Macaca mulatta: one gene and its partners. The protein of the gene in region 4 interacts with the protein of the main gene of each other region in a pairwise test. Links are inferred from orthologs where the notes say so. Each region holds a gene or a part of one and is shown on either strand. Other genes may lie near its edges. The genes, in order: FAM107A, DPPA4, PSMF1, LDOC1, CTNNBL1, POLL and SMARCD1.

Region 1 (3,952 bases), on a different chromosome or scaffold from region 4:
AGGATCTACATACATTTTTTACTTTTCTTGGTTTTTTTGTTTGTTTGTTTGTTTTTCAGGTTCTTTTGAGACAGTCTTGCTCCATCACCCAGGTTGGAGGGCAGTGGCCCAATCTTGGCTCACTGCAAACTCCGCCTCCCAAGTTCAAGCGATTGTCCTGCCTCAGCCTCCCGGGTAGCTGGGATTACAGGTGTGTGCCACCACGCCTGGCTAATTTTTGTATTTTTAGCAGAGACAGGGTTTTACCATGTTGGCTAGGCTGGTCTCAAACTTCTGACCTCAAGTGATCTGCCTGCCTCGGCCTCCCAAAGTGCTGGAATTACAAGTGTAAGCCACCATTCCTGGCCTACTTTTATATTTTACATTCACACGTTCATTCTTTGAGCCACTACTTATGGAACACATATTCTGCCAGGCAAAATGCACCATGCTGGGCTCTGGCCTCAGTTCACATAGAGTCCAGGTCTCTGCTGGAGAAAAGTCCCATATGCTGAGCTTTGACTGTGTGCTTCACTAATGTCATCTCATCCATGTCACCTCCCAACCACCCTGGTATGCTCCACGTTTGACAAACACAGAAACCAAGACACAGAGACACTGAGTGGCTGCTGAAGGGGCTGGTGCTGGAGCCAGGGCCAACACTCGAGCCTGCTGAGACCCAGACACGGTGCTTCCCCTCTCCTACACTCTCCTGTTGGCTCCTCTGTGAAGTGCCCATGGCGTTCGGGGTATCAGGAAAATGTTGTGTACGGAGTTTCTGACCCATTCGTGGATAATCAAGAACTGACCCAATGCTGAGCAGTTTCCCCTCCCTTTACACCCCACCCCTTTCCCCCCAGAGCCATTTTCTCCTGAAGAATCCACACCACTGCCGCAGGAAGCTTGGCTTCCCCTCCCATGGGGAAGTGCTGGAATCCACTCTTGCCTGACCCTCCCATAAAAAACAAGGGAAATTCCTTTACGTGAGCTGCCTTGCTCAGAACAAAGCTTGGCGTGTTTCTTATTCCTCATCAATCTGACAAAATGGGTATTTATTTGTGCCTCTCAAGCGTGTGGCTTGGACATGATGTTCCGCATCGTGGAAGTGGCCGTGTACCAAGTGAAATATCTGTTACTATAGTAACAGTTCCTTTTTATTGATACCAGAATAAACAGGAATGCAAAGGCTGTCTCACTTGTTGGCACATTTCAGCAGCCTCCCGTTCCCAGGGGTTTAAGAACCGCCCTCTAGAGGCAGCCCTCCTTGCTAGTCTGGGACTTCCCAGTGGAGTGAGGAACCCAGCAACACGCTCCTGACTTCCCTTCCCAAGGACTCGACCTGAGAAGTAAGACCATCTCTGTTCTGTTTCCCCCGCTGTCGAGCGCGGTGCTGTTCGGGAGGAGGTGGAAGGGAAGGAGGGCAGACCCTGTGCACTGAAGTGGGCTGTCAGTGGACCTGAGTGCTTTGAGTTTAGGTACCTGGGCTATGTCCCAGCATCTGTAAAATGATACGGGAGATGCCTCCCGGCACCCTGGGTTTCGGAAAAGGGTAGGAGACAAAGAAGTGAGCCCCTAGGCATAGCCCTGCATTCTTGTTGATCTTTTTCTGCTGCATCCTCAGGTGAATCTGAATTAATGCATGATATAGCCTCACCTAAGTCAACTATCACACAGTATGGGGGTTTAATTCTCGGCACAACCGACAGAACACAGGTTTCAGCGTCAGAACTTGGGCTCAGATTCGAGCTCTTTCTTTCACCGGCTGGGTGATTTGGAGAAATCAGATGACTTCCCTGAACTTCAGTTTCCTTGACTGTAAAAAGAGGATAATGACAGTACCCACCTTCTCAGTCTGTCGTAAGAATTTCATATTTCATGAGATACGACTGCTAGGTGCTTAGCACAGTGCATGGCACATAGTGCATGCAGGTTAACGTGTGAAGGGCCTGCCTTTCTGGTGAATTTGGCTTTAGGACTTTGCAATACAAGGCAAGTCTGAGATTGGGCCAGAAATCAAGAGCTGTAGGATTGGGTGTGTCACTTTTTGAAACTGCTACCAAACTCAAGTCACTTCGAGCTTCAAGGCAGCCCCCACACCTGCATCTCTGGGTGACTTAGATCCTAAGTGGCCCTCTTAGTTCTGTTGGTGGTAAGTACCTGCTGGAATTTTCCCTGCAGAGGCATCTGCCAGGTAAAGTGGCTGGCATCATGCCACTAATGAGCCAGCAGGGATTCCAGGTCTGCTGATGCTTGTTCCAGATCAACTGCACAATGCTGTCCACTAACCTTGCTAAGGACCCTCCATGTCTAGCCCTGGACTCTGCTATTTAATTGATTCAAAATCCTAAATGCCCACCCAACATTCTCCCAAGGTAGGAAATTACAACGGACCCAAGGCAAAATGTTCAGGAAGTCAGCCTTGAGTCATTGCATCCAAATGGACAAGCAGCTCTGCTGGGGGCTTCCGAGCATCGACCAGAGGCTGCTGAGAGATCTGGAGGTGGCTCCCAGATACACTGTTCTTTGGCTGCTGGCCAGTGAAATACAATTAGGCACTTTCCCCATGGAGAGGAAAAAAGCCAGAAGGGTCAGGAAATCCAGTGACCATGCTTGTCACTTTTACTGAATGCCTCTTTTTCGTTTGCCAGTCGTTATTTTGAAAGCCTCTCTTCTCCTCTGCCTGCCATCCCATTAAATGCTGAACCAAGAGGGTCCTGAATGTGTTCTGAACTCAGCAGCTTGAACAGTAATAAGGAAGTGGGGGCAGAGGAGGAAAGGCCAACAGCTGGTCCTCTCCTAAACGAGACCAGCCTGAGGCCAGACAGGCCTGTGGATTCTAGCTTAAGCCCAAAGCTGCTGGGGCCAGGCTGGGTCTCCCCAGGGAGAGTCTGTATTTCACATAGGCTATTAGTCCTCAAGTTAGCAGGCCTCCATGTTCTCACCTATAAAATGGGCTCACACAGCCTCTTCATTGGGGTTTCTTGACTATCTAGAGAGAGAAAAGGGACATAACCCTGCTTTGTCAACTAAAAGACATTTTGCACCTTGAAGACAGTGGAGAGATAGAAAGAGCACTGAATTTGGCGTCCAAGGTCCTGGCTTTGCTGCTTACTCTCTGTGTATCTTGAGACAAGTAGCTTGGCCTCTCTGAGCCTTAGTTTTCTCATCTATAAAACGGGGTACCACTGGCTGCCTCTGAGGGTGATTTAGAGATCCAGATCAAATTCGAGAGGTGACCACAGGATTTCTTCAGGACAGAAGTACCATGGTTTGTCTTCGGTGAGTGTCACTCTGCCAGGTGCTGGGCTAAACACATTGTGCCATTGTATCACTTCATCCTCCAAACTGCTCCGTGAATAGGCTACTATCCTTGCTGTATAGAGGGTCAGAGAGGTTAAGCTACTTGTCCAAGGTAACACAGCTGGGAAGGGTTGCCACCATGAATCAAACCCAGTCTGTCTCCACTAAAACATCTGCTTTAACCATTGCTTTACTGGCTCATGTGTCATTTGTTACAACTGATGCCATCAAAGACAGAAATAGGACTACCATAACAGTGGAGAGGCAAGTGGAAGGGTCACTGAGGTCTTAGACAGAATGGGGTATGGCTATTGTCAAGATGAACTGGGCCCTGAGACTCCATCAGTGCAGCTCTCCTTCTGTCTCTCCTTACTCTCTCCTGTGGGTGGGGGCACCAGTGTTTGGTTTCAAATCTGCCACCCTGCATTAGCCATGCATGCCCCAGTGGCCCTGTGCCCTCTCCCTGGGAGCAGCAGAGATCTCCACTGAGCCTTGCCTGGTGTGGGGCCAACGTCCTGTGGAGCCTCTGGCGAGGAGCTCTGGGACCTCTTGAGTCACCAACAAAACCAGGGAGGAATCAAGCAAGGGGCTCCCAATCTTTCCTCGGACCTCTTATTATCCCCACCCCATGAAAAACAACATCAGTCCCATAGTCTGCCTATTGAGAATTATT
Region 2 (3,500 bases), on a different chromosome or scaffold from region 4:
GCGTTAAACCCTGACACAGAAATGCTTTCTGTTTCCTGGGGATAAACTTAACTGAGTAATGATTTTCTTGAAACTCTTTACTGACAATTTGAGCTTGAAATACATGGCTATATAAGATTAATGTGTATCTTGACTTTCTGCAATTGAAAATCCAGCACCCACTTTTAGTTTGTAGAAAAGCATCAGGTAATTACCTGTGAACACATTTGGGGCACAACATATTGTCTTCAAGATGCGGGGGTGGAAAATTGGAGGCAGGAAGCAAGAAGAGTGCACTCACTCTCCCTTCTTGCTTTTCTGGAACCCAGGCTTGACCAGCATGAAACTGCAGGTGAACCCAACCATCTGTGTCTGCAGGGAGACTTTTCCCATGGACCACACACCACCTGACACCTGGCGAAGGAGAGAGACAGGCACCCACACACCAGGATGACATACCGATGTAAGGCTGCATTATGGCCCATCACCCTTGATTGACCAACTCCAAGACGTGAACCCTGAAATCCTAACTTAACCTCTTCTCTATTCTGTTCTCCTTTAGAAAAGCATACAAGACAGTTCCTGTTAAAACTTAAAAATCTAGGCGGGGCACGGTGGCTCATGCCTGTAATCCCAGCAGTTTGGGAGGCCAAGGCGGGCGGATCATGAGGTCAGGATATCGAGACCATCCTGGCTAACACTGTGAAACCCCGTCTCTACTAAAAATACAAATTAGCCGGGCGTGGCGGCGGGCGCCTGTAGTCCCAGCTACTTGGGAGAATGAGGCAGGAGAATGGCGTGAACCTGGGAGGCGGAGCTCGCAGTGAGCCATGATCACACCACTGTACTACAGCCTGGGCGACAGAGCAAGACTCCGTCTCAAATAAACAAACAAACAAACAAATAAATAAATCTAGTTGGAAGTAGTATAGTTGTAGGTGGGCAGATGGTAGAAAGACTAACCCAGAGTGTCTGGAAAGGGCTTCATGAAACAAGCTCAGGGGCCCCAGCTCTGAACACACATTGGATTGTGCTAAACAGTTTATTGTCTTCTTTTGTTGTATTTTCTGTAATTCTTACAACATATAAGCTAGGTATCGCCCATTTTACAATGAAAACACTGGGAAATATTTTAAATAACTTATTAATGCCATTCTGGGGCTCAGCTGCAGGCAATTAATTTTAGATCTTACTTTTAAATTGCTTAAAGGGGAAAGAAAGAAAACCAAACTGCTATCCTCTTCTGATGCCATCAATCATTTAAAGCAGTGGTTCTCAAACTGTGGTCCCCAGACCAGCATCCTTACTGCTGCCCGGAAAACTGAGAAATGCAAACTCTCGCTGGGTGCAGTGGCTCACACCTGTAATCCCAGCATTCTGGGAGGCCGAGGCAGGCGGATCATCTGAGGTCAGGAGTTTGAGACCAGCCTGACCAACATGGAGAAAACCCGTCTCTACTAAAAATACAAAATTAGCCGGGCATGGTTGCGCCTGCCTGTAATCCCAGCTACTCAGGAAGGCTGAAGCAGGCGAATTGCTGGAACCCGGGAGGTTGAGGTTGTGGTGAGCCAAGATCGCACCACTGCACTCTAGCCTGGGCAACAAGAACGAAACTCTGACTCAAAAAAAAAAAGAAAGAAATGCAAATGCTCAGGTCCTGTCCTAGACCTGAATTAGAAACTCTGTGGGCAGGGTCCAGGAATCGCCGGCCCTCAAAGGCATTTTGATATACCCTAAAAATATATCAGGCATTAATCTCTACTAAGCTTATTTCCCCACTGGACCAGAATAAGCTCTTCGTGTTGGGCTTACCACAGGCCTCTTGTGGAGATTCCACTGCCTCTGGCGTCCTCGCCCTGGCCGAAATTCTCGCCCAGGAGGCCAGCAAAGCCTCTGGGGCAGAAGTTGTCACCACAACTGTATTAACTCCCTCAAGGAGAGCAGTGGAATCTTCCAGGGCAGGCGGCCCCTCCGCAGGGGGAAGGGCCACTTCAGGAGGATGTGTCTCAGAACTTTGCAGGGACGTTTCCCCTTTTTCCACCTTTAATTTTTTTTTCAATGATTTCCGGATTTTGGCCTCTTTTGCTGTGCTAGGAAAATCCTACAGAAAGGGTTAGATAATAAAGATAAAAATAAAGATTAAAATTCTAACAAAAATAAATGGCCTCAGAGTTAAGAAGTTCTTGATCAAATGCAAAGTTTCACTTAGACAGGAGGTCTAGGTTCAAGAGATCCACTGTACAACTTGGTAACTATACATAGTTAATTACAATGTACTGTCTTCTTGAAAATTGCACAGTTGGCTGCACATGGCTCAGGTCTGTAATCCCAGCACTTTGGGAGGCCAAGGTTGGTGAAACACTTGAGGTCAGGAGTTCAAGAACAGCCCTGGCCAACGTGGTGAAACCGCATCTCTACTAAAAATACAAAAATTATCCAGGCGTGGTGGTTCATGCCTGCAATCCCAGCTACTCAGGGGGCTGAGACTGGGGTATCACTTGAACCAGGGAGGCGGAAGTTGCAGTGAGCCTGCACTCCAGCCTAGGTGACAGAGGGAGACTCTGTCTTTAAAAAAAAAAGAAAGAAAGAAAATTGCTGGCCGGGCACAGTGGCTCACGCCTGTAATCCCAGCACTTTGGGAGACCGAGGTGAGCGGATCACGAGGTCAGGAGTTCTAGACCAGCCTGGCCAACATGGTGAAACCCTGTCTCTACTAAAAATACAAACATCAGCCAGGCGTGGTGGCAGGTGCTGTAATCCCAGCTACTCTGGAGGCTGAGGCAGGAGAATCGCTTGAACCCAGGAGGTGGAGGTTGCAGTGAGCTGAGATTGCGCACTGCACTCCAGCCTGAGCAACAAGAGCGAAACTTTGTCTTAAAAAAAAAAAAAAAAGAAAGAAAGAAAACCTGGGCACGGTGGGGCTCACGCCTGTAATCCCAGCACTTTGGGAGGCTGAGGTGGGCAGATCACCTGAGGTCGGGAGTTTGAGACCAGCCTGACCAACATGGAGAAATGCCGTCTCTATTAAAAATCCAAATTAGCCAGGTGTGGTGGCGCATACCTGTAATCTCAGCTACTCGGGAGGCTAAGGCGGGAGAATCATCTGAATCCAGGAGGCAGCGGATGCATGGAGCGAAATTCTGTCTCAATAATTATAATAATAATAATAATAATATAGTATGTAAAGTGATGTATGTATTAATTAGCTTGAGTTAGCCATTCCACAATGTATACGTATTTCAAAGCCATGTGCTGTACATGATAAAAATATACAATTTTTGTCAATTAAAAAAATTTAAGTGCTGCCTCTTTTTATTTTTGAGACAGCGTTTCACTCTTGTGCCCAGGCTGGAGTGCAATGGTGCATCTCAGCTCACGGCAACCTCTGCCTCCTGGTTTCAAGCAATTCTACTGCCTCAGCCTCCTGAATAGCTGGGATTACACACATGCACCACCACACCTGGCTAATTTTTGTATTTTTAGTAGAGACAGGATTTCACCATGTTGGCCAGGCTGGGCTG
Region 3 (3,500 bases), on a different chromosome or scaffold from region 4:
CCTCACAAAGTGCTGGGATTGCAGACGTGAACCACCGCCTTGTTCCCAATCTTAGGGGCAAAGCAGTCTTTCACAGTAAAGTCTATTGTTATGGGTAGGTTTTTTGTAAATGTTCTTTATCAGATTAAAGAAGTTCCCCTTTATTCTTAGTTTGTTGAGAGTTTTTAATCTTGAATGGATTTATCATGTTGGATTTTGTCAAAAGCTTTTTTCTGTATCAATTGATATGATCATATCATTTTTCTTCCATAGCTTATTGATATGGTACATTACATTGATTGATTTGTGACTACTAACCAGTCTTGCATACCTAGAACAAGTCATACTTGGTCATGGTATATAATTCTTTTTATACATTTTTAAATTCAATTTGCTCTTATTTTATTGAGGATGTTTTTTTATGTGTGTAAGTTCATAGGATATAATAGTCTGTATTTATTTATTTATTTTTTGTATGGTCTTTGCCTGGTTTTGATACCAGAGTAATACTGGTCCCATGAAAGGGGTTGGAAAGTATTCCCTCCTCGTATATTTTCTAGAAGTGATGGTAAAATTGATGTTAATTCTTCTTTAAATGTTTGATAGAATTCTCCCTGAAACAATCTGAGGCTGGAGATTTTTTTTTGTTTTTAGAATGTTAAGTGTAATTCATTTTCTTTAATGAAACTATTCAGATTATCTGTTTCATTTTGGCTGAGTTGTAGTTTATGGTTTTTAAGAATTGGTCTATTATGAATTGTTGGATTAAGTTGTTCTTAGTATTCTCTTATTATCCTTTCAGTGGCTACAGATCTATTGTAATATCTCCTGTTTCATTCTTGTTACTGGTGACTTATGTCCTCTCTCTTTTTATATTTGTCAGTCTTGCTAGAAGTTGGTCAATTGTATTCATTTTTTTTTTTAAGAATTGACTTTTTGTTTCATTTTCTCTATTGTTTTTCTTTTTTATTGACTTATGTTCTTACCTTTATTACTTCTGCTTGCCTTGGGTTAATTTGCTCTTCTTTTTCTAGGTTCTTTAGGTCAGAATTTTGGTTATTGATTTGAGTTCCTTCCTCTTTCTTGATGTAAGCATTTAGTGCTATGAGGTTTCTTCTCAGCAATCCTTTAGTTATATCCTGCGTATTTTCCTATGTTTTTATTTTCATTTTAATTCAGTGCTATATATTTCTTTTTTGGGACTTTGATCCAAGGATTTTCTAGAAGTATGTTGCTTAATTTTCATGTACTTAGAGAGTTAACTTTTTGTTTTGATTTCTGTTGTGCTTCCATATGGTTGGAGTACATACTTTGTATGGTTTCAGTTATTTTACATTTGTGAGCTTTGCCTTATGGGCAGGATGTGGTTCATTTTAAAATACCAGTGTTTTAGGAAGCCTGGAGTCCTACCCATTCTGTTACCTCAGCCTGCCTCCACACCTCAGCTGTGGCTCACGTCACTTGTCTCTCACAGGCAAAGAAAAAGAGGCCCAGGCAGGATGGGATAGGTGTTAGGGGCAGCCTTCCGAGGACTCCTGAGTTAGTGACAGAACTGGACCTTGAGCCCCCAGAGCTCTGCCTGCCTGGACCAGGAACCTAATTCATCCTCCCCGTGGAGCCTTTGCCTTCCATGACCCTTCCCATGACACATGATGAACACACAATGAAGCTGAGGGAGGGGTGAGGTGGGTGAGAACAGAGGAGTAGCCAGTCCAGGCTCGGTGCCCCTACACCCTCACCTCTTTCTAATGGGGTGGTAACGAGGAGGGGCAACTCAGATGCCTAAGAAGCTTAGGCCCAAATCTCAGAGACAGCGTGGGGCTGTTGCCCCCCTCACCCAGGTCCACCAGGCGGCCTGTTCCCCCACTTATAAACAGGCCAAGCGCAACGCCAGGAGCTCTCAGGGCCGCCGCTGCCATCGTTGCGGCCAGAATACCGCTTCCAGGGTTCCTAGCCAACTGCAAGCAGTTGACTCTTCGTCTGCTTCCTGCAGGACCTACAAGAACAGTGAGGAGCTTCGGTCTCGTATTGTGTCTGGAATCATCACACCTATCCATGAGCAGTGGGAGAAGGCTAGTGTAAGCAGTCCCCACCGGGAGTTCCCCCCTGCTACCGCTAGAGAGGTGGACCCACTCCGGATTCCTCCACACCATCCACACACCAGCCGGCAGCCTCCCTGGTGAGTACAGAGCGTCCAGCGGGAAGCCCATGCTTCTGCAGCGGGATTCCAGCCAGCTATCCCCATCCTGCCACTTGACCCCATCCCTGGCCCGTGTGTGTTTTCAACAAAATGATCAATGTCTTGGGGTTCAATGGAATTAGAAAGTGGAGACGTAAGTGGAGCAGTGAGTTCTTGAACTGCTACTAGTCACCCTAATTACCCCACATCTTAAGCCTGCCTTACTTCTTTCTAGAGGCCACACAGAGCCCCTGAGTCTATCCAAGGATCAGTGCCTCTGGGGCTTATGTGCAGTAGTCCAGGGTTGCTGCCCAGGTAATTCACAGCTAATTCATCCCAGAGCTCTTTGTCTAGACAGGGCCCTGGGCCAGTCTTTTTGAGAAAATGCAAAGATGCAGAGGTACTAACCCAGAGGAGATGCAGTCCCAATGTCTTGCCCATTTCATTTCTTTTCACTGTAGTCCCCCAACCTCGCTATCAACTTCAGAAGTTTTCCAAAATAGCATGGGGTGTGAGTGAGTCACATTCCAAGGTTTTTGCAGATTAGGATGGCAGCGTTAGGACTGGAGACTTCTGCTCAGAGGGAGGAGACAAGGACCATGAGACCCCAGCCTCCAGCTGAGATACCACTTCTCAGTTTGGAGCCCATACTGTGATATCATACTGTTGGTGGGGATGAGGGACAGAGTTCACTGTGAGGGACATAAATAAGCACTTAATAAATGTAGACTACCATTGTTATTTTATTCTGGTTCATAATTATATGCCTTTAGTTAGCTAAAAATGGGAAATCAGTTAAATTATTACAAGTAATGATTGGCATATCTCTTTGGCAAAGTCTTTACCAAAAATATTGAGTCCTGTGAAGACAATGGAGAATTAGAAAAAGTGGTTGAAAAGATTGAAAATGACTTGTCTGATATATCTTATTTTACCAAAGGGAATAGAGATAAGATGACCTGCCTGAGTTCACCAGCCACCAATAAAGAGGTAGAGCCAGGGCTGGGGTCTAGGTATCCTTACTCCCTGCACAGTGCTCTGCCTGTGATGTAAACAGATGTGATCTAACCACCTTTCCATGCTGGAAAGATTTAAGAATAAGCCCTGGTCAGAAGTCAGGTTGGGAAAAAATTTTAGACCTGAAGTAAATAGTAATTCTCAGCTTTATTAGACCCAATGCCCATTTCAAAACAAATATTCTGTGAAATAGCTCTTACTATATTGAAATGGAATTCATAGGTATTCTAACTTACCTCATCCACATTTCAGAGGAAATCAGTATAAAGTCCTAACTATAATATAAATTAGAAAAAGAGAGTAATTAATAAGATGATGATGTATA
Region 4 (3,082 bases):
ATTCTCCTGCCTTAGCCTCCTGAGTAGCTGGAACTACAGGCACCTGCCACCACGCCCCGCTAATATTTTGTATTTTTAGTAGAGACAGGGTTTCACCCTGTTAGCCAGGATGATCTCGATCTCCTGACTCGTGATCCGCCCTCCTTGGCCACCCAAAGTGCTAGGATTACAGGAGTGAGCCACCGCGCCCGATTCCTGTGGCTACTCTATGGAGAATATACTATAGGAAGAAAAGAGTGAAAGCTAAGTGATTAGTTGCAGCAGTCTGGGTGAGAAAGGCTGGGGATCAGGGTGGCAGTGGTAGAAATGACAAGTCATGACTGAATTGGCAATATATTTGAAAGCAGAGCCAACAATTCCTGTCGGCTCTAGGGATCCGTTTAAAGTAGAAAAACAAAATTATTTAAAAACACAAACATCTTAACAGTTCATTTTTAAGTACAGAATAAAACCCAGTGGCCAAAGGCACTAATAGCAGGACAAGAAATAGAGAATCAAAGATATGTGGGATGCCTGCAATTGATTATTGGATGCTGATTTTGCAAAACTTCTTTATATCCTGCTACTTAGGTTTGTTTTTTTTTGTTTGTTTGTTTTAAGGGAGTATGCCATATTATTCCCCTACTAAAGAAGTCACTGTTTAAATACTGCCTTTTTCATGAAAGGCAGGAACCCCTGAAGGTCTTCATGATCCTAAAAGGAAGTGTGAGTCCCACAGTGCAGCCAGCAGTGTCAATACTTCTCTGAGTGAGATTTAAACAAGAAAGAAAATGTGTTAATAAAACATCACGCCAAGAGAATCTAGTGGCCACAGACCCACGAAGGAACAACTGAGTTGTGAGAGTTGCCTAGGTAGAAGGGTGGCTAATCCTTTCAGTTTGAACAAATTTGCCTTCTCTGAGACCAAACTCAGCGCTCGCCAGGTCCTCTGCTAACGCAGGCCCCACAACCAGGAGCTAGGGGAGCCTACCCCAGCCTTTAACTGCCCGCCTAGAGACCTACCACAAGCCGGTGGTTCAGCGACCCAATGCATCCTTTTCCTGGCCACGCCCTCTTTGTCTAAACCCTTCCCATCCCGGCCACGCCCCCACGCAGCCGCGGCCGCCAGTCTGGCCACGCCCCTCCCGCGCCGCGCCGGCGCACCATCCGTCCGAATGGCCTCGTGGGCGGAGCTTGCGTAGCCTCCCGGACCCCGGCGCGCACCGCCCCCCGCCCCCAGCCCCTGGCCATCGAGCGTCTCCGTGGACACGCACTTCCTGCGAGGCCTCCGTGCGCACCTTGGCCGAGCCGAACCGAGCCGAGCCCTGTCCTTCCAGGCTGTTCGCAATGGTGGATGAGCTGGTGCTGCTGCTGCACGCGCTCCTGATGCGGCACCGCGCCCTGACCATCGAGAACAGCCAGCTCATGGAACAGCTGCGGCTGCTGGTGTGCGAGAGGGCCAGCCTGCTGCGCCAGGTACGTCCGCCGAGCTGCCCGGTGCCCTTCCCCGAAACGTTTAATGGCGAGAGCTCCCGGCTCCCTGAGTTTATCGTGCAGACAGCGTCTTACATGCTCGTGAACGAGAACCGATTCTGCAACGACGCCATGAAGGTGGCATTCCTAATCAGTCTCCTCACCGGGGAAGCCGAGGAGTGGGTGGTGCCCTACATCGAGATGGATAGCCCCATCCTAGGTGATTACCGAGCCTTCCTCGATGAGATGAAACAGTGCTTTGGCTGGGATGACGACGAAGACGACGACGACGAGGACGAAGAGGATAATTACTAGGCCCTCGGGCCTCGGGGGGAGGGCCCTGCACGCCGTCACCCCCTCCCCGCAGCCCTCACCCCGCCAGGAGCCAGTGCTCTCCCCCTTGCCCTCCGGTCCCCTTCCCTACCCGCGCCCGTCTGCTCTTTCTTCATTTCTCCGTAGTGCTTGTCTTTGTTCCAGGAATAGTGCTCCAGTTACCTGCTGCTGGGGTTGGGGCTGGAGCCTCACTCACTCGGAAGTGCTTGGAAGTGTCATCTACCCTGGCCATCCCGGGGATCCCTCCCCTGCTAATCTGAACTGTGTCCTGAACCCCAGCTATTGGCCAGGCCCCTGTTACAAACTGCGCAGACCACCCATAGCCCTGCTGCTGCCACCTGCCCTGCTGCCAGGCTTACATCTGCCCAGAGAACTATGCTGCCACTTCACATCCACTCACCACATCCCACCTACAGACTACCGCCTTTCGAGATCAGGACCAACCTGGAAAATGCCAGAGTTGGCTCTGCCTCTTCGGACATTGATTTGGACAGCTCACCAACCCCTGAAGAGGCCAGTCATTCAGCCTGGTTAGTTTTCTACCTACTCCGAGTGTCCTCCCCTGCCATACCAGATTGCTGCAGGGGCGCGGTGTGCCTGACAGCCAAATTGTTGATATTTCTTTTTTCCTATGCACTGGTTTTACACAGCTGTCATTTTTCTTTCAAAATTGCAGCAGTCCCACAGATGTATGCATTTGGACAAATAGTACTAAAAACAAAACAAACAAGCACTCAGCCCAGCTCCTCAATACTACCTGGAAAAAGCATTGGCATTATTTTCAATAAATATCAAGCACTAAAAAACGAAATGATTGTCTTTTAATAGTTAAGTGCTATCACTGACCTCTAGAACTGTCACTGTGACTACCGTTATTCCCATGGAAATCAGGGAATACAACCAATCCTAGGAATCCCTGCTGTCAACTCCAGGCTGCTGGGGACAGCTACCTCAGGGCTTTGTCAGGGTTCTGATGCTTCCTTCACCAACGCATTTCTTAAAGCCCTGGCAAAGGGTGTGTTCTCTGGGTCCTCCAGGGTGGCATGGGTAAGGGTTGGCTGAGCAGATGGCAAAGAGGGCAGTATTAATAATTAGACCGTAACAACAGGCATAAACCAGGACATATATATGTATTGCTCCTAATTCTCTGAGCTTTTGGATTCCTTAATATTGTGCCAGGGAAGTTCTGCCCCTTAATCCTTATTGCCTATATGCAGCTGTTGAGTTCAGGCTCCAGAGAGCCAACATAGTACATTGTCACTTTCAAACTCCAAATAGCCAACATGTCACTTACAGG
Region 5 (3,500 bases), on a different chromosome or scaffold from region 4:
CCTCCTTGGCCTCCCAAAGTGCTGGGATTATAGGTGTGAGCCACCATGCCCAGCTTCTATGTCATGTCCAGCTCTAAAATCCTATGTTTCTTTTCTCTCAGCCCAATAGGGGCACAAAACGTCCCCGGGATGATGAAGAGGAGGAGCAGAAGATGCGTCGGAAACAAACTGGTACTCGAGAACGTGGCCGCTATCGGGAAGAAGAAATGACTGTGGTGGAAGAAGCGGATGATGACAAAAAAAGGCTGCTTCAGATTATTGACAGAGATGGGGAAGAGGAAGAGGAAGAGGTAACATGGCAGCGATGGGTGGGAGCTGAGATGGCCGGCCCTATAGAATGTAATTTTGGGCCAAATACTCAGCTTGTCTGAGCTTCCCATCTTCATCTGTAAAATGGGGTTAAGAATTCATATTTCATCGCGTTAATGTGAAGGTTAAGTGGGCTAGGGCAGTTGGGAAAGCATCTTGCGAGATGTAAAGAACAAGACAGAGTTTTCGAATTATCCAGGCAGGCTTCCTGGATCTTACTGAGGACACATAGAAGGCACTTGTGTTATTACCTTTGAAAGAGGGATCAAATTTTATCAAGTGGAAGGAAGGGCTTTTTAGGCAGAGAAAATGGTGGTATTAGCAAAGCAACAAAAGTGGAGAAGTTTAAGGGGGTGCCACATTGTTAGATATTTAGATGTGACTGCAAAAGTACAGCTTAGGGAAGGAGACTCCTCAGGGCCTTTCTCTTTGCTGTTGCCCAAGATGCCTTGGGGCTTTTCCACTCATTCCTGCCTCTGGACCTTCGGACCTCTGTGCCCTCTGTTGGAATGCTCTTCTTCCTTGATGCTTTGTATGGCTGGTTTCTTCACATTCAGGTCTCAGTGAGATGTTTCCTCCTCCAAGAAGTCTTTCCTGTGTAGCCCTGCAAGCCGTTCTCTCATTCCCTCATCACTGTGTTCTGTATATTGTCTGCACAGCACGTATCATGATTTGAAATTCTAGTTGTTTATTGTGCTCATTGCTGTCCTCCTCCCAACCTCCCATGAAAACAGAGACTGGCTCTGTTCTGTTCACAGCTCTATCTTTGGTACCCAGAGCAATACCTAGCTCTTGGTGGGCCCTTAATAAATATTTATTGAATGAATAAATGAAGCTGGGAAGAGTGGAGGTAAAATATCAGTGATTAAAAACAAAATGACCTTACCTCTGTGTCTTTTTAAATCTTTAAGTGTTAACTTGTATGTTATTTCACTCTGGCATTTTGTTCAATATGAATTATGGAAATAGAGTCTTAAGAGCCAGCTGTTTTTTGGTTCCCTCAAAGACACGATGCTAAGTTTGGATTTAAAAAATGAGGCTGGCGTGTGAATCTGAGAAGAAGAAAAAATGGATTCATATTCCAAAAAGGTCTTTACTGTGTTGTGACAGTAGCTATTTCCTTATTAGGATTTGTACTAGTGTTAATTTGGGGGTCTGCCCCTAAAAGATGATGGCACTTTAGAAATATGTGGTGGGAGACAGTCCTGAATTTTTGAATTTCCTCTCTGAGGGCAGCAGCCTTGCCAGGGCTTAGGCAAACAGTGTGTGTAGCACATCCTCCCTCCTTTCCCTCCTCACCAGCTTCTGCTCAATCTGTTAGCCCTGCAGCAGCAGTTAATTGGCAGGTATAATTCCCATGTAGGGCAAGGCTGGTACTGGAGGATTAGGATAGTAGCTGTCATGGGTAAGTGGTTTCTAGCCTGGGAGACAGAAATGTAATGTGGGACCAGCCCTTCTGTTAAGGGACAGGGAAAAAGAGATCACTTTGTAAAAATGACACATGGAAGGCTACAAGTCCAGGAGTTATTTTCTCACTGCCACCAAAGTCCCATTTGATGAAAAACAAGTGATGCTTGCCCCTGTAAAGTCACGTGAACTTGTAAAATATTATTGTCCTTTTTGTGCTACATCACCAGCATTCATCTTTCTGAAATCTCCCTCTGGTTTCTGACGTTGAGCTATTGGAGATACTGCTGTGGCTGATGACTAAGACTGATAATTCAGTTTCCCCCAGTGTTGGAGAGAAATTAAAGGAGGGAAGGCCAAACCCTGGAGAGGCTAGGACTTCGGAAATCCCGTGAGAGCTGTGTTAACACTAATGTGGTTTTTCTCCAGAGTGGGGCACGATGTTAGCTAAGAAAAAGAAAAGTAGCAGATATTGAGCTTGCTTGAAAGTGATTTAACTCTTTCCTAGAAATGTTTTGATTATTTTGGTTAAATTCCAGTGAGATGTTGGGTACATTGTGCCTGTTGCTAATAATAACCATAACAGCTTGCATTCATGTAGTTTACAAAGCACTTTTATGTACATATTTTCTTTAGGTCATCTCTATGACCTTGAGAGATACAGGTAACATTTTCATTCCTCCCCTTCCTTCCCCTCCCCTCCCCTGTTCTCCCCTTCTCTCCCCTCCCCTCCTCTCCCCTCCTCTCCCCTCCTCCCTTCCTCCTTTCCTCCCTTCCTCCTTTCCTCCCTTCCTTCTTTCCTTCTTTCCTTCCTCAGATCTTCACGGAGTACCTGCTGTGTGCCAGACACTGGAGAGTCTACTTGTGCCACAGAACAAGTAGACATGGGCTAGCAATGGGGGTCTTTGCCCTGGTTTGGGGTTGGAGAGATTATATGGGCAGATCCTGCCAGATCCTTACATAGATCATGTGAGGGGTTTGGGATTTTATTCTCAGTGTGTGGTGGATGAATTCAGGAAAGATTTAGGAGTTAGAATTAGCTGGACTTGATGAAGCTTTGAGGAATATATTCAGCAAAGTAACATTGTCACATGGCTAGTAAGTAGTGAAATTAGGCTCTGAGTCTTGACTGAGCCAGGACTCTGACTTGTTTTTACCACATCAGGGAACCTCTCTTTAAGCTGTAGACCCTGGGGAGGAGGTAGGGGTTCGATAGAGAACCTTGGGATCTAGGAATCATTGGTGTAATCTAAGAAATGTGTCATGCCGAAAATGAATTTATGGGTAGCTCCCACTTAAAGCCCAATATGTGGAAATAGAAATTTAATAATAGAATAATAGCTAACATTTTTGAGTACTTATAAAATTATGGGATGATTCAGTGCTTTCCAAAAGGATCTATTTCAGGTTCTCTTAATAGCAGTTTCTTTATCGCTTTTAGGCTTGAGTTATGGTCAATGACTACAAAGCTGTGAAGCTTTGAGTTGGGATAGTATTGAGAGAAGCAGGGTGCATTGCAGCACACTAATTTAAACTGGAAGGTAAACTGAAGATAAAATGTGTGAAATTTTAGTGTAGATTTTTTGGAGAAAAAATGATTTAGTTTTCAAATATTCATTTTATTTGCTTTCATAGGTATTATTCCAATGTATGAAGCCAGAAAATTCTGTATGGTCTACTAGCTTTTTTCTGCATTCTCTAGGCAGGGTTACTAAATTCTTGATGCTACTTCAGGATTCAAAGTACCTGTCTGAATTCCTTCTCAGCATCTAGTAAGGACCAGG
Region 6 (4,092 bases), on a different chromosome or scaffold from region 4:
TGGTACGAGGTGACAGGCTTATGGAAGCTCTTGAGAGCATTGATGGCCTTGGCATAGCCCAGGGCCCTCCACTTGTCTCCCTGAACACTGTAGGCTTTGGCCAGAACTTCCAGCTTCTCTGTGATATGGAGGTTGTGGTTGGTCGCCTTCTGGCTTGAGGGCTGTGCACAGACCCACTTATCCAGGACCACAGGGGCTGGGCTAGGATCACAATCTCCCTCAAGGGAGGCGGGGTAGTGGCCACTGATGAGGGCTTCCAGATCAGCTGCGCTAACCTGGGTTTCTTCCCCATCGCTGGCTTCATCATCAGAGATGGGCTTGGGGTAGAGAAGAAAAGAAAACAATAAATTCTTGTCCTCCAGGAGAAGGGATCCTTAAAGGTGGGGGTCATCTTCTTTGTGCAGGGGGAGGGTCTTCTAGTCAGACCTAAGAATGAGGTGGGGCCTTCTGCATCAGACTTGGATCACCTCGGGTGTGGGGCCACATTCCCTTTGGCTCACCGCAGTGCCTACCCCTAGGATCCCCAGTGGTATGTGTTAGATACGGCCTAGATGAATGCAGGAGTGATGAGTGTTGGGAAGAGATATATGGCTTCACAATGGGGTCCTCCTCTCTCCGGGGACTGGGACTTTCTGAACAGTCATCAGGCCCTCCCCATTTCTGTGATCTGCTTCCTAGGGGAAGGGAGCTCTGAGGGATGGAAGGCTCCTGACCTGGGCTTGGGTGTTTGGTGCCTCTTTTGTCTTTTGGGGAGGAGACACAGGCCTGGTGGGAGAAGGAGGAGGAGGAAGCGCTGTCTGAAGCAGGGCCTCATGGGTGCCAGGAGGAAGAGAAGCATCCTGCTCTGCCTTGCTGGGCTGTGACTGGTCCAAGTACCTGTGGGGATGGTGATGGGAGGTTAAGACACCAAAGGTCTCACCCTGTTTCTGTCCCCAGTCCTAATGTATTCTGAAATACTTGGTTTCCCAGTGTGTCCAATTAAGAAAATGAGTTTTTTGAGGTTTTTGGAGTTTCTCTTGAGATAGGGTCTTGCTCTATCACCCAGGCTGGAGTACAGTGGTATGATCAAGGCTCACTGCAGCCTCAGCCTCCCTGGCTCAATCAATCCTCCCACCTAACCCTCTTATAGCTGGGACTACAGGCATATACCACCATGCCTGGCTAATTTTTAAATTAATGACAGTTATTTTTAATAATTCAAGAAGAGAGCTCAAGATGCTACTAGAAAACATTGGAAAAAAAGACTGGGATCAGCCCACCTACTGGGGATGAAGATGCTGAATCCAGCTACATCCACCAGCCTCCTCTCCTGAAGGCACAAGCTCAGCCAGGCTGACTTCACCAGCTGAGCACCCGGGGGCAGCCGGGGTAGTCTGAGAAGGCGGAGGGCTCGCTCATAGTCCATGCCTTCATCCACCACAATGTGAGTGACACCTGGGCCCTGGACAGGGCATAACTGGCCACCATGCTGAACAATCTGCTTCTCAAAGAGTTCTGCCCGGGCTCGTCCAATGCCAGTGCGCACAACATGGGCCCGAAGGGAGCTCAGCCACTCTGGGGAAGGAACATCCAGATGACTACTGTCATAACTTTTTAATTTTATCTGCCACCCCCTGGCCACAACTTCTAACATGATCTGAATACAACTTCTAACATGATCTGAATGACATGTTCACAGTCCCCTACCCTGAAAATAAGCATTTGTCTTCCATCCAGGCAGGTTTCCTTCTATATACAGCAAATTTTCTCACAGGCCAGTACTTGAAAGTAAGGGACAAGGATTTTTATACGTCCTGTTCCTTGGTGCAACCTAGAAGTGTCTGGCACATTGTAAGTAACCTGTAAATATCTGCTGAATGAATGCCTCCTCCCTTCTTACTTTGTTTTTGTTTTGTTTTTTTCGTTTGTTTGTTTGGAGACAGTCTCACTCTGTTGCCCAGGCTGGAGTACAGTGGCGTCATCTTGGCTCACTGCAACCTCCATCTCCCGGGCTCAAGCGATTCTCATGCCTCAGCCTCCCAAGTAGCTGGGATTACAGGCATGTGCCACCATGCCTGGCTAATTTTTTGTATTTTTGGTAGAGACGGGGTTTCGCCACATTGCCCAGGCTGGTCTCGAACTCCTGAGCACAGGTGATCTGCCTGCCTTGGCCTCCCAAAGTGCTGGGATTACAGGCATGAGCCACCGCGCCCAGCCTCTCTCCATACTTTGAATCCTTTATCATTTATTCTTTCAACAATGCACATTTCTTGCCCTTACACTCTGACAGACCCGACAACCCTGCCTCCAAAGCCTCTGCTATTTATTTATCAATTTGGCTGCAAAACAACTAACAACAATCCTGGGTAATGGAGGGGGGTTTCTGTCCCAGTCCCCCAGGGCAAAAATTATACTGGTCATTCCCTGAGGGTCCAGGGAGTCTTTTCCAATTGATAGGGGTGTTCAGGTAGAAAAGAAGATAACACAGCAAATGGCCTGTCCAAGACCCAGGACCAAGCTTAGTACAAGGCAGATACAAACAGACCTGCAGTCCATGGACAGGCAGAGTCAGCTCCAATATCTGATTCTGGACATGAACAACATAGGGCTGAAGCACATGAAGGCTGAGGGTTCAAGCGCATGAGGGTTCTGAGAGTGGGTCATCTCACCTTCTGCTTCTTCTCCCTCTTCCTTCCTGGGAATCTTTGCAAGTACTTTTGATGATGCATCAGCATGAATTTTCTTCCGTTTGGGAAACGCCTTCAAGATACCCCTGGGATCCATTGAAGTACGGCTGCATCCCAGCCTGTTGGAGGGTTGGTCAGGGCTGCTGTCAGGTGGAAATACAGAATTAAGGATCTCCAACCCCTTTGCCTATGGAGGTAGGGGGTAGCAGCCCAGTTTGGGGAAGCGGGAGGTTGGGGGGGATCTCTTCAAACCCTGTTAAACTAGCTTTTTAGCCTAGCTTCACACTCCCCAGTCTTTCAAAGTTGGAGTATTAGGGGAAATGAGGGGAAGGCTGGAGCCATCGGGGGTACTTTTAAGGAGTAGGAAACTATACCCATTCCTCAAAGGGGTTGCTCTAAAGATTCAGCACAGCCCTCCTGCTGCGGCCCACTTCGAAGGGCTTTACCAAAATGGGATGCTGGGCTAGGAAATGGAGCTTTAGGGGATGGAGCGGAGACTGGGGAGGACCTGCACATAAACTCCACATACTCTTTTTCTACCTCCAACACAGACTTGCAGAGGAAAACCTGAGGAGGCGGACTTTCGCGGGTGAGTGGGAACGCCCTGCACCTGCCCTGGTCTCAGCCTCTCGACATGGGGATGCTCAGCGCCGCAGCTGCGGGGAGATGGGGCACGGCCGCAGCAGGTGTGGGGAGCCCTCCGGGAATGGAGGAGTCTCGCAGCTGGGGGTGAAGACCCAGGCAGGTGTGGTGTACTCGCCCTGTACGCAGCTGGCGCAGGCCAGGGAATCCCAGCTCGGGGCTAGTAGAGAGTTGGAGTGCCCAACCCCGGCGCCAAGAGTCTCTCTCCAACCGCCAGAGTCAGTCCCCGGGTGCGGTCGACAACAGGCCAAGTTGGTCACCCGAGGGTGGGCAGGAGTAGGCCACTTACCAGGAGAGCCAATGAGAACGGACGAAGGGGGGAAGGAGGGCAAATGCCCAGAATAGCTTCCGAGTCAGCCGGAAGTGACCTTCAGTGGAACGGTTGCCATGGCAGCGGCCGGGCGGGCTGCTTAGCACAGGAAAGATGGCGGTGACGGGCTGGTTGGAGAGTCTGCGGACAGCCCAGAAGACTGCACTGCTGCAGGACGGTAACTCGAGGGTCCCCGCGAGCTCCTTCGTTTTTTTCCCCCAGGGTCCGGCCCTCCGGGAAGGGCCTCAGGGCCTGGGTCGGCAGAGCTGGAAGGGTCTCGGTGGTCAGCCGGGCCAGGTCCTGCATTTGCGGATGAGGAGACTAAGGCTCACAGAGATGACATGACCAGAACACATGTCTCCGGACACCCCTTAAATTTCTCTACACCATCTCGCCCCGCTCTGAGTTCTGTTGCTAATATAGTAATTTCTTTTACATTCGTTATCTCATTTGCTCCTCACCACTGTCCTGAGA
Region 7 (4,170 bases), on a different chromosome or scaffold from region 4:
AGGGAAGCAGGAATGAGGCCAAAAAGTGTGCATTGGATAGGGGAACAGCAGGCAGGGCTTTGGGTGACGCATGCCTCTGGTCTAATAAACTGGGTTTCAACCATCTCCTCTTCAGTGTTGTTCACTTATTTGAAAACATATTTAGGTATTCTCACTAAGTGCCTAGAGCTGAGCTTGGTTTTGGGGCCAAACAATTAGGGGATGAGTAAGGAGAAGGTTTGAGTAGGGAGACTGTGGTCCTCCTGGGATGGGACGGCTGACCATCGTATCAGGAATAGTTTGAACCACTGGGCAGGGAAAGAGGGAGGAGTCAAAGGCAACAAAGGTCCAAAACAGAATCCCCATCACAAACAATGCTTTAGAGAGAGAGCAGAGTCAAAATTCAAGATAAACTGGAACTTATTATAAAATCTGAAAGCAGGCTGGCACGGTGGCTCACGCCTGTAATCCCAACACTTTGGGAGGCTGAGACGGGCGGATCACTTGAGGCCAGGAGTTCGAGACCAGCCTACGCAACATAATGAAACCCCCATCCCTATTTTTTAATATTAAAAAAAAATCTGAGGCCAGGCACAATGGCTCACACCTGTAATCCCAGCATTTTGGGAGGCTGAGGCGCGCAGACCACTTGAGCTTAGGAGTTTGAAACCAACATGGGCAACATGGTGAAACCCTGTCTCTACCAAAAATACAAAACAGCCTGGCATGGTGGTGCATGCCTGTGATCCCAGCTACTCGGGAGGCTGAGGTGGGAGGATCACTTGAGCCTGGGAGGCGGAGGTTGCAGTGAGCTGAGATGGTGCCACTGTGACAAAGAGAGACCTCATGTCGAAAAAATAATAATAATAATAATCCGGAAGCAGGTTAGGTCGGAGACAAAGTTAGGTTGAAGTTCCCACGTGAGGTAGTTATTGAGGCACTTTATCTGTGGAATGAGTCCTGGGCTATGAGCAAGAAGACCTGGAATCTTGGCTTCGGCTTTATGACTAACTTGCTGGTTGACCTTTGCCAAGTCGTTCACCTGTGAGTTCAGCTTTCCTATTTGGAAAATGGAATAAACTGTGTTTCCCTCCTCAGCCCCTGATAGTTATAGCAGTAAGAAAATGAAACGAAAAGCAATCAAAGCGTTTTGGGAAGTTAATGCCATGCGCCAAGATGAAGCTATTACTCCAAGCACCTCATCATCAGCGGGCTGGAGTCGGGGTTGAGACTGGGGCTGAGGCTGTGGTCCGTCCCCCTTTCCAGGTCCTTGTCTACCTCCCGTCGGCCTGGGGGCGCCCGCTCACGGGGCCTCTCTATCCCAGAGTTCTTCTCTATGGTTTTCCCTCCAGGACCGTGAAGGCGGGAGGGCGTGGCCAGCACGCCTTTTCCGCTACTCGCTCCTCTCTAGGCGACAGTCTCGCTGCCCTGAGCCTCCCGTGCCGGCCAGCCGGCCGGGGGAACAGGCGGGCGCTCGGGGGGCGCTCAGGGGGCGGGGGGAGTTCCGGTTCCGGTTCTTTGTGCAGCTGCATCGGCGGCTCCGGGAAGATGGCGGCCCGGGCGGGTTTCCAGTCTGTGGCTCCGAGCGGCGGCGCCGGAGCCTCGGGAGGGGCGGGCGCGGCTGCTGCCCTGGGCCCGGGCGGAACTCCGGGGCCTCCCGTGCGAATGGGCCCGGCTCCGGGTCAAGGGCTGTACCGCTCCCCGATGCCCGGAGCGGCCTATCCGGTGAGTGGGGCAGGAGGAGGGACGCGCGGGCCGGGGGCGGGGCCGAGCGGGGACGTGGGAGTGACAGGGGTGGGGGGAGAAGTAGGAGGGACTCCCTTGGGAGGGGTTCGGGCTCTGGGTGGGGGTTGGGGGAGGCAGTGCGCAGGAAGAGAGGGGGAGGCAGTTGGCGTCCACACCTGCTCCTAGGGGCATTGTTTCCGTGGGGAGTCGGTAGAGAACCAGGGTGGGTGAAGTGGGTCCAGGGATACCTGTACGAGGGCCGGAGTGCAGAGGGGCTTGAGCAGCTCCATTGATCAAAGGAACACAGAACGTGTAGTTGACAAATTGAGGTCAGCTTCTAAAGAGATAGTAGCTAGCAGAGTAAATGTGGAACTGGCGATGTCCGATGTGTCCGATCCAAAATAGACCGATAATTTGAGTATAATCTGGCTCTCGCTTAGCTTTTGGACTCTTTATTTTTCTGTGGAGTCACTGCTGGAGCAGAGGGTTCTCGTCTCATTGTCCTCCATTCCATCCGTAAACCTTACTTCATTCAAAGAACTCAGGCGTTCCCTGCTTTTCTTTCTTGGTGGGGTTTAGCAGGTGAAACCATGACATCTCTGGGTCCTCTCCCCTCTGTAGAGACCAGGTATGTTGCCAGGCAGCCGAATGACACCTCAGGGACCTTCCATGGGACCCCCTGGCTATGGGGGGAACCCTTCAGTCCGACCTGGCCTGGCCCAGTCAGGGATGGATCAGTCCCGCAAGAGACCTGCCCCTCAGCAGATCCAGCAGGTCCAGCAGCAGGCTGTCCAAAATCGAAACCACAAGTAAGATGATCCTGGGGCAGAGGGAGGGAGGGAGGGAGCCTGGGAGTACACAGGTGGTGGGATTACCTGAACCAAGAAGTGGTGGTGCTGTGTCAGCAGATGGTGCTACAGGATGATTGAGAATGCTTGGTGGTGGTGGTGGTGGTGGTGGTGGTGGTGGTGGTAGTTCTTTGATTTGAGAGAAGCTTTGCAATCCCTTCACATTACTATAAATGGACATGCTGACAGCTTATTTTCACGTTCTGACTAGTTCTGTCCCAACCTGATAATAGTGTTTATTCCCAACAGTGCAAAGAAAAAGAAGATGGCTGACAAAATTCTACCTCAAAGGGTGAGTCCAGGCTGTTTTCTGGAAAGTGTGGTAGGTTTGAGTATAGAGATGAATCATCCTAGATTTCAATTAATTTTTCTGTTCCTAAGATTCGTGAACTGGTACCAGAATCCCAGGCCTATATGGATCTCTTGGCTTTTGAAAGGAAACTGGACCAGACTATCATGAGGAAACGACTAGATATCCAAGAGGCCTTGAAACGTCCCATCAAGGTAACACAGGAAGTTACTAAGCAGAGAGCCAAAGGAGAGGACCCAGGAACCTTCAGCAGGCTTAGGATGAGAAATCAAAGGCACAGCACAACTCTCCTTGGCATTTAAATTGTATCTTTCCCTTCCGCCTACAAACTGAGAATTACATTAGGAGGATAAGAACAGAATGGCAAAGGGGGAGGGGCTCTTGATGTCTCTTGCACTACAAATATACCCTTGTCCATGTTTTTGCTGTAACTGCTCTGCTACCTTGGGAACCTGGCACCTTGCATGACTTTGTCCACCTGGCATCCCACTGTATGCACTTGTACTTAGGCTGATGGCCAGTACTCCTCTTCTAAATGGAATCTTCATCCACCCACCCAAGGGACTGGGTAGACAGTAAGCCAGTCTGTTAGGAATAATTTTGGGGTTTGGGGAGACTCTTGTCTTCAACATTAGACCACTGAAGCCCCACGATCAATCCTGTTTCTGCCTTCCTCAGCAAAAACGGAAGCTGCGAATTTTCATTTCTAACACTTTCAATCCGGCTAAGTCAGATGCCGAGGATGGGGAAGGGACGGTGGCTTCCTGGGAGCTTCGGGTAGAAGGACGGCTCCTGGAGGATGTGAGTTCAAGGTCCACAGTGGTTGGCATCTAGGGTGGGAGCTGCTGGGAATGAACAGTGTTGTCTGGTCAGCAGGAAGCCTAACTGGTGCTCACAGCTCCTTTTGGGAGCAGTAGGGAGAGGGACACTGTTCCCTGCACTGAAAGACAATGGTCCTTTGTGTTTGCCCCCACACCTTTGGCCTTCACTGGTATCATATGGAGAACCTTATTGTCCTGGGATCTGATTTGTGATTTACCTTCCTCTTGGTGCTGCTGGCCATTGGATTTAGCCGTATCTGTAGATTATTTAGTTTTTGTTTTGTTTTGTTTTTAGTCGAGTTTGCACTTAATTTGAGGCCGTGTTTCCTCTCTGAGTTCTTGTGGTATCTCCATCTTCTCAACTTTCATTGGAGGCACCCCATAGTTTTAAGTAGGATAGATTTCTCTTGACAGGCTCTTTGTTGCTTCCTGGGGAGCATCAGCTGACAGGTGATAGCCCCCAAACTTCCCAACCCAGAAGCTCCTC

Evidence for each region.
Region 1: the proteins of LDOC1 (region 4) and FAM107A interact in a two-hybrid assay, tested with the Homo sapiens proteins (2 studies listed by BioGRID and IntAct). The two-hybrid records come from large-scale screens. The link is inferred for Macaca mulatta from reciprocal best matches to the Homo sapiens genes LDOC1 and FAM107A.
Region 2: the proteins of LDOC1 (region 4) and DPPA4 interact in binary tests that used the Homo sapiens proteins (3 or more experiments, as listed by UniProt). The two-hybrid records come from large-scale screens. The link is inferred for Macaca mulatta from reciprocal best matches to the Homo sapiens genes LDOC1 and DPPA4.
Region 3: the proteins of LDOC1 (region 4) and PSMF1 interact in binary tests that used the Homo sapiens proteins (3 or more experiments, as listed by UniProt). The two-hybrid records come from large-scale screens. The link is inferred for Macaca mulatta from reciprocal best matches to the Homo sapiens genes LDOC1 and PSMF1.
Region 5: the proteins of LDOC1 (region 4) and CTNNBL1 interact in binary tests that used the Homo sapiens proteins (3 or more experiments, as listed by UniProt). The two-hybrid records come from large-scale screens. The link is inferred for Macaca mulatta from reciprocal best matches to the Homo sapiens genes LDOC1 and CTNNBL1.
Region 6: the proteins of LDOC1 (region 4) and POLL interact in a two-hybrid assay, tested with the Homo sapiens proteins (2 studies listed by BioGRID and IntAct). The two-hybrid records come from large-scale screens. The link is inferred for Macaca mulatta from reciprocal best matches to the Homo sapiens genes LDOC1 and POLL.
Region 7: the proteins of LDOC1 (region 4) and SMARCD1 interact in binary tests that used the Homo sapiens proteins (3 or more experiments, as listed by UniProt). The two-hybrid records come from large-scale screens. The link is inferred for Macaca mulatta from reciprocal best matches to the Homo sapiens genes LDOC1 and SMARCD1.

What each region holds. Positions count from the first base shown.
Region 1 is NC_133407.1:122,159,730-122,163,681, reverse strand, and holds the start of FAM107A (actin-associated protein FAM107A), read left to right. Parts: upstream 1-1,152; 5' UTR 1,153-1,325; intron 1,326-3,952. UniProt on the Homo sapiens protein: Stress-inducible actin-binding protein that plays a role in synaptic and cognitive functions by modulating actin filamentous (F-actin) dynamics. Mediates polymerization of globular actin to F-actin. Also binds to, stabilizes and bundles F-actin.
Region 2 is NC_133407.1:174,309,768-174,313,267, reverse strand, and holds part of DPPA4 (developmental pluripotency-associated protein 4), read right to left. Parts: intron 2,081-3,500; coding exon 1,792-2,080; intron 394-1,791; coding exon 195-393; intron 1-194. UniProt on the Homo sapiens protein: May be involved in the maintenance of active epigenetic status of target genes. May inhibit differentiation of embryonic cells into a primitive ectoderm lineage.
Region 3 is NC_133415.1:83,002,117-83,005,616, reverse strand, and holds part of PSMF1 (proteasome inhibitor PI31 subunit), read left to right. Parts: intron 1-1,972; coding exon 1,973-2,158; intron 2,159-3,500. UniProt on the Homo sapiens protein: Plays an important role in control of proteasome function. Inhibits the hydrolysis of protein and peptide substrates by the 20S proteasome. Also inhibits the activation of the proteasome by the proteasome regulatory proteins PA700 and PA28.
Region 4 is NC_133426.1:147,689,613-147,692,694, forward strand, and holds LDOC1 (protein LDOC1), read left to right. Parts: upstream 1-1,232; 5' UTR 1,233-1,326; coding exon 1,327-1,767; 3' UTR 1,768-2,582; downstream 2,583-3,082. UniProt on the Homo sapiens protein: May have an important role in the development and/or progression of some cancers.
Region 5 is NC_133415.1:90,595,802-90,599,301, forward strand, and holds part of CTNNBL1 (beta-catenin-like protein 1), read left to right. Parts: intron 1-101; coding exon 102-290; intron 291-3,500. UniProt on the Homo sapiens protein: Component of the PRP19-CDC5L complex that forms an integral part of the spliceosome and is required for activating pre-mRNA splicing.
Region 6 is NC_133414.1:113,660,634-113,664,725, forward strand, and holds the start of POLL (DNA polymerase lambda), read right to left. Parts: upstream 2,801-4,092; 5' UTR 2,764-2,800; coding exon 2,649-2,763; intron 2,604-2,648; exon of another isoform or gene 2,525-2,603; intron 1,555-2,524; coding exon 1,260-1,554; intron 877-1,259; coding exon 714-876; intron 318-713; coding exon 1-317. Other genes in the region: protein DPCD, read left to right, coding at 3,733-3,796.
Region 7 is NC_133416.1:57,257,524-57,261,693, forward strand, and holds the start of SMARCD1 (SWI/SNF-related matrix-associated actin-dependent regulator of chromatin subfamily D member 1), read left to right. Parts: upstream 1-1,370; 5' UTR 1,371-1,527; coding exon 1,528-1,704; intron 1,705-2,325; coding exon 2,326-2,513; intron 2,514-2,801; coding exon 2,802-2,844; intron 2,845-2,933; coding exon 2,934-3,056; intron 3,057-3,540; coding exon 3,541-3,663; intron 3,664-4,170. UniProt on the Homo sapiens protein: Involved in transcriptional activation and repression of select genes by chromatin remodeling (alteration of DNA-nucleosome topology).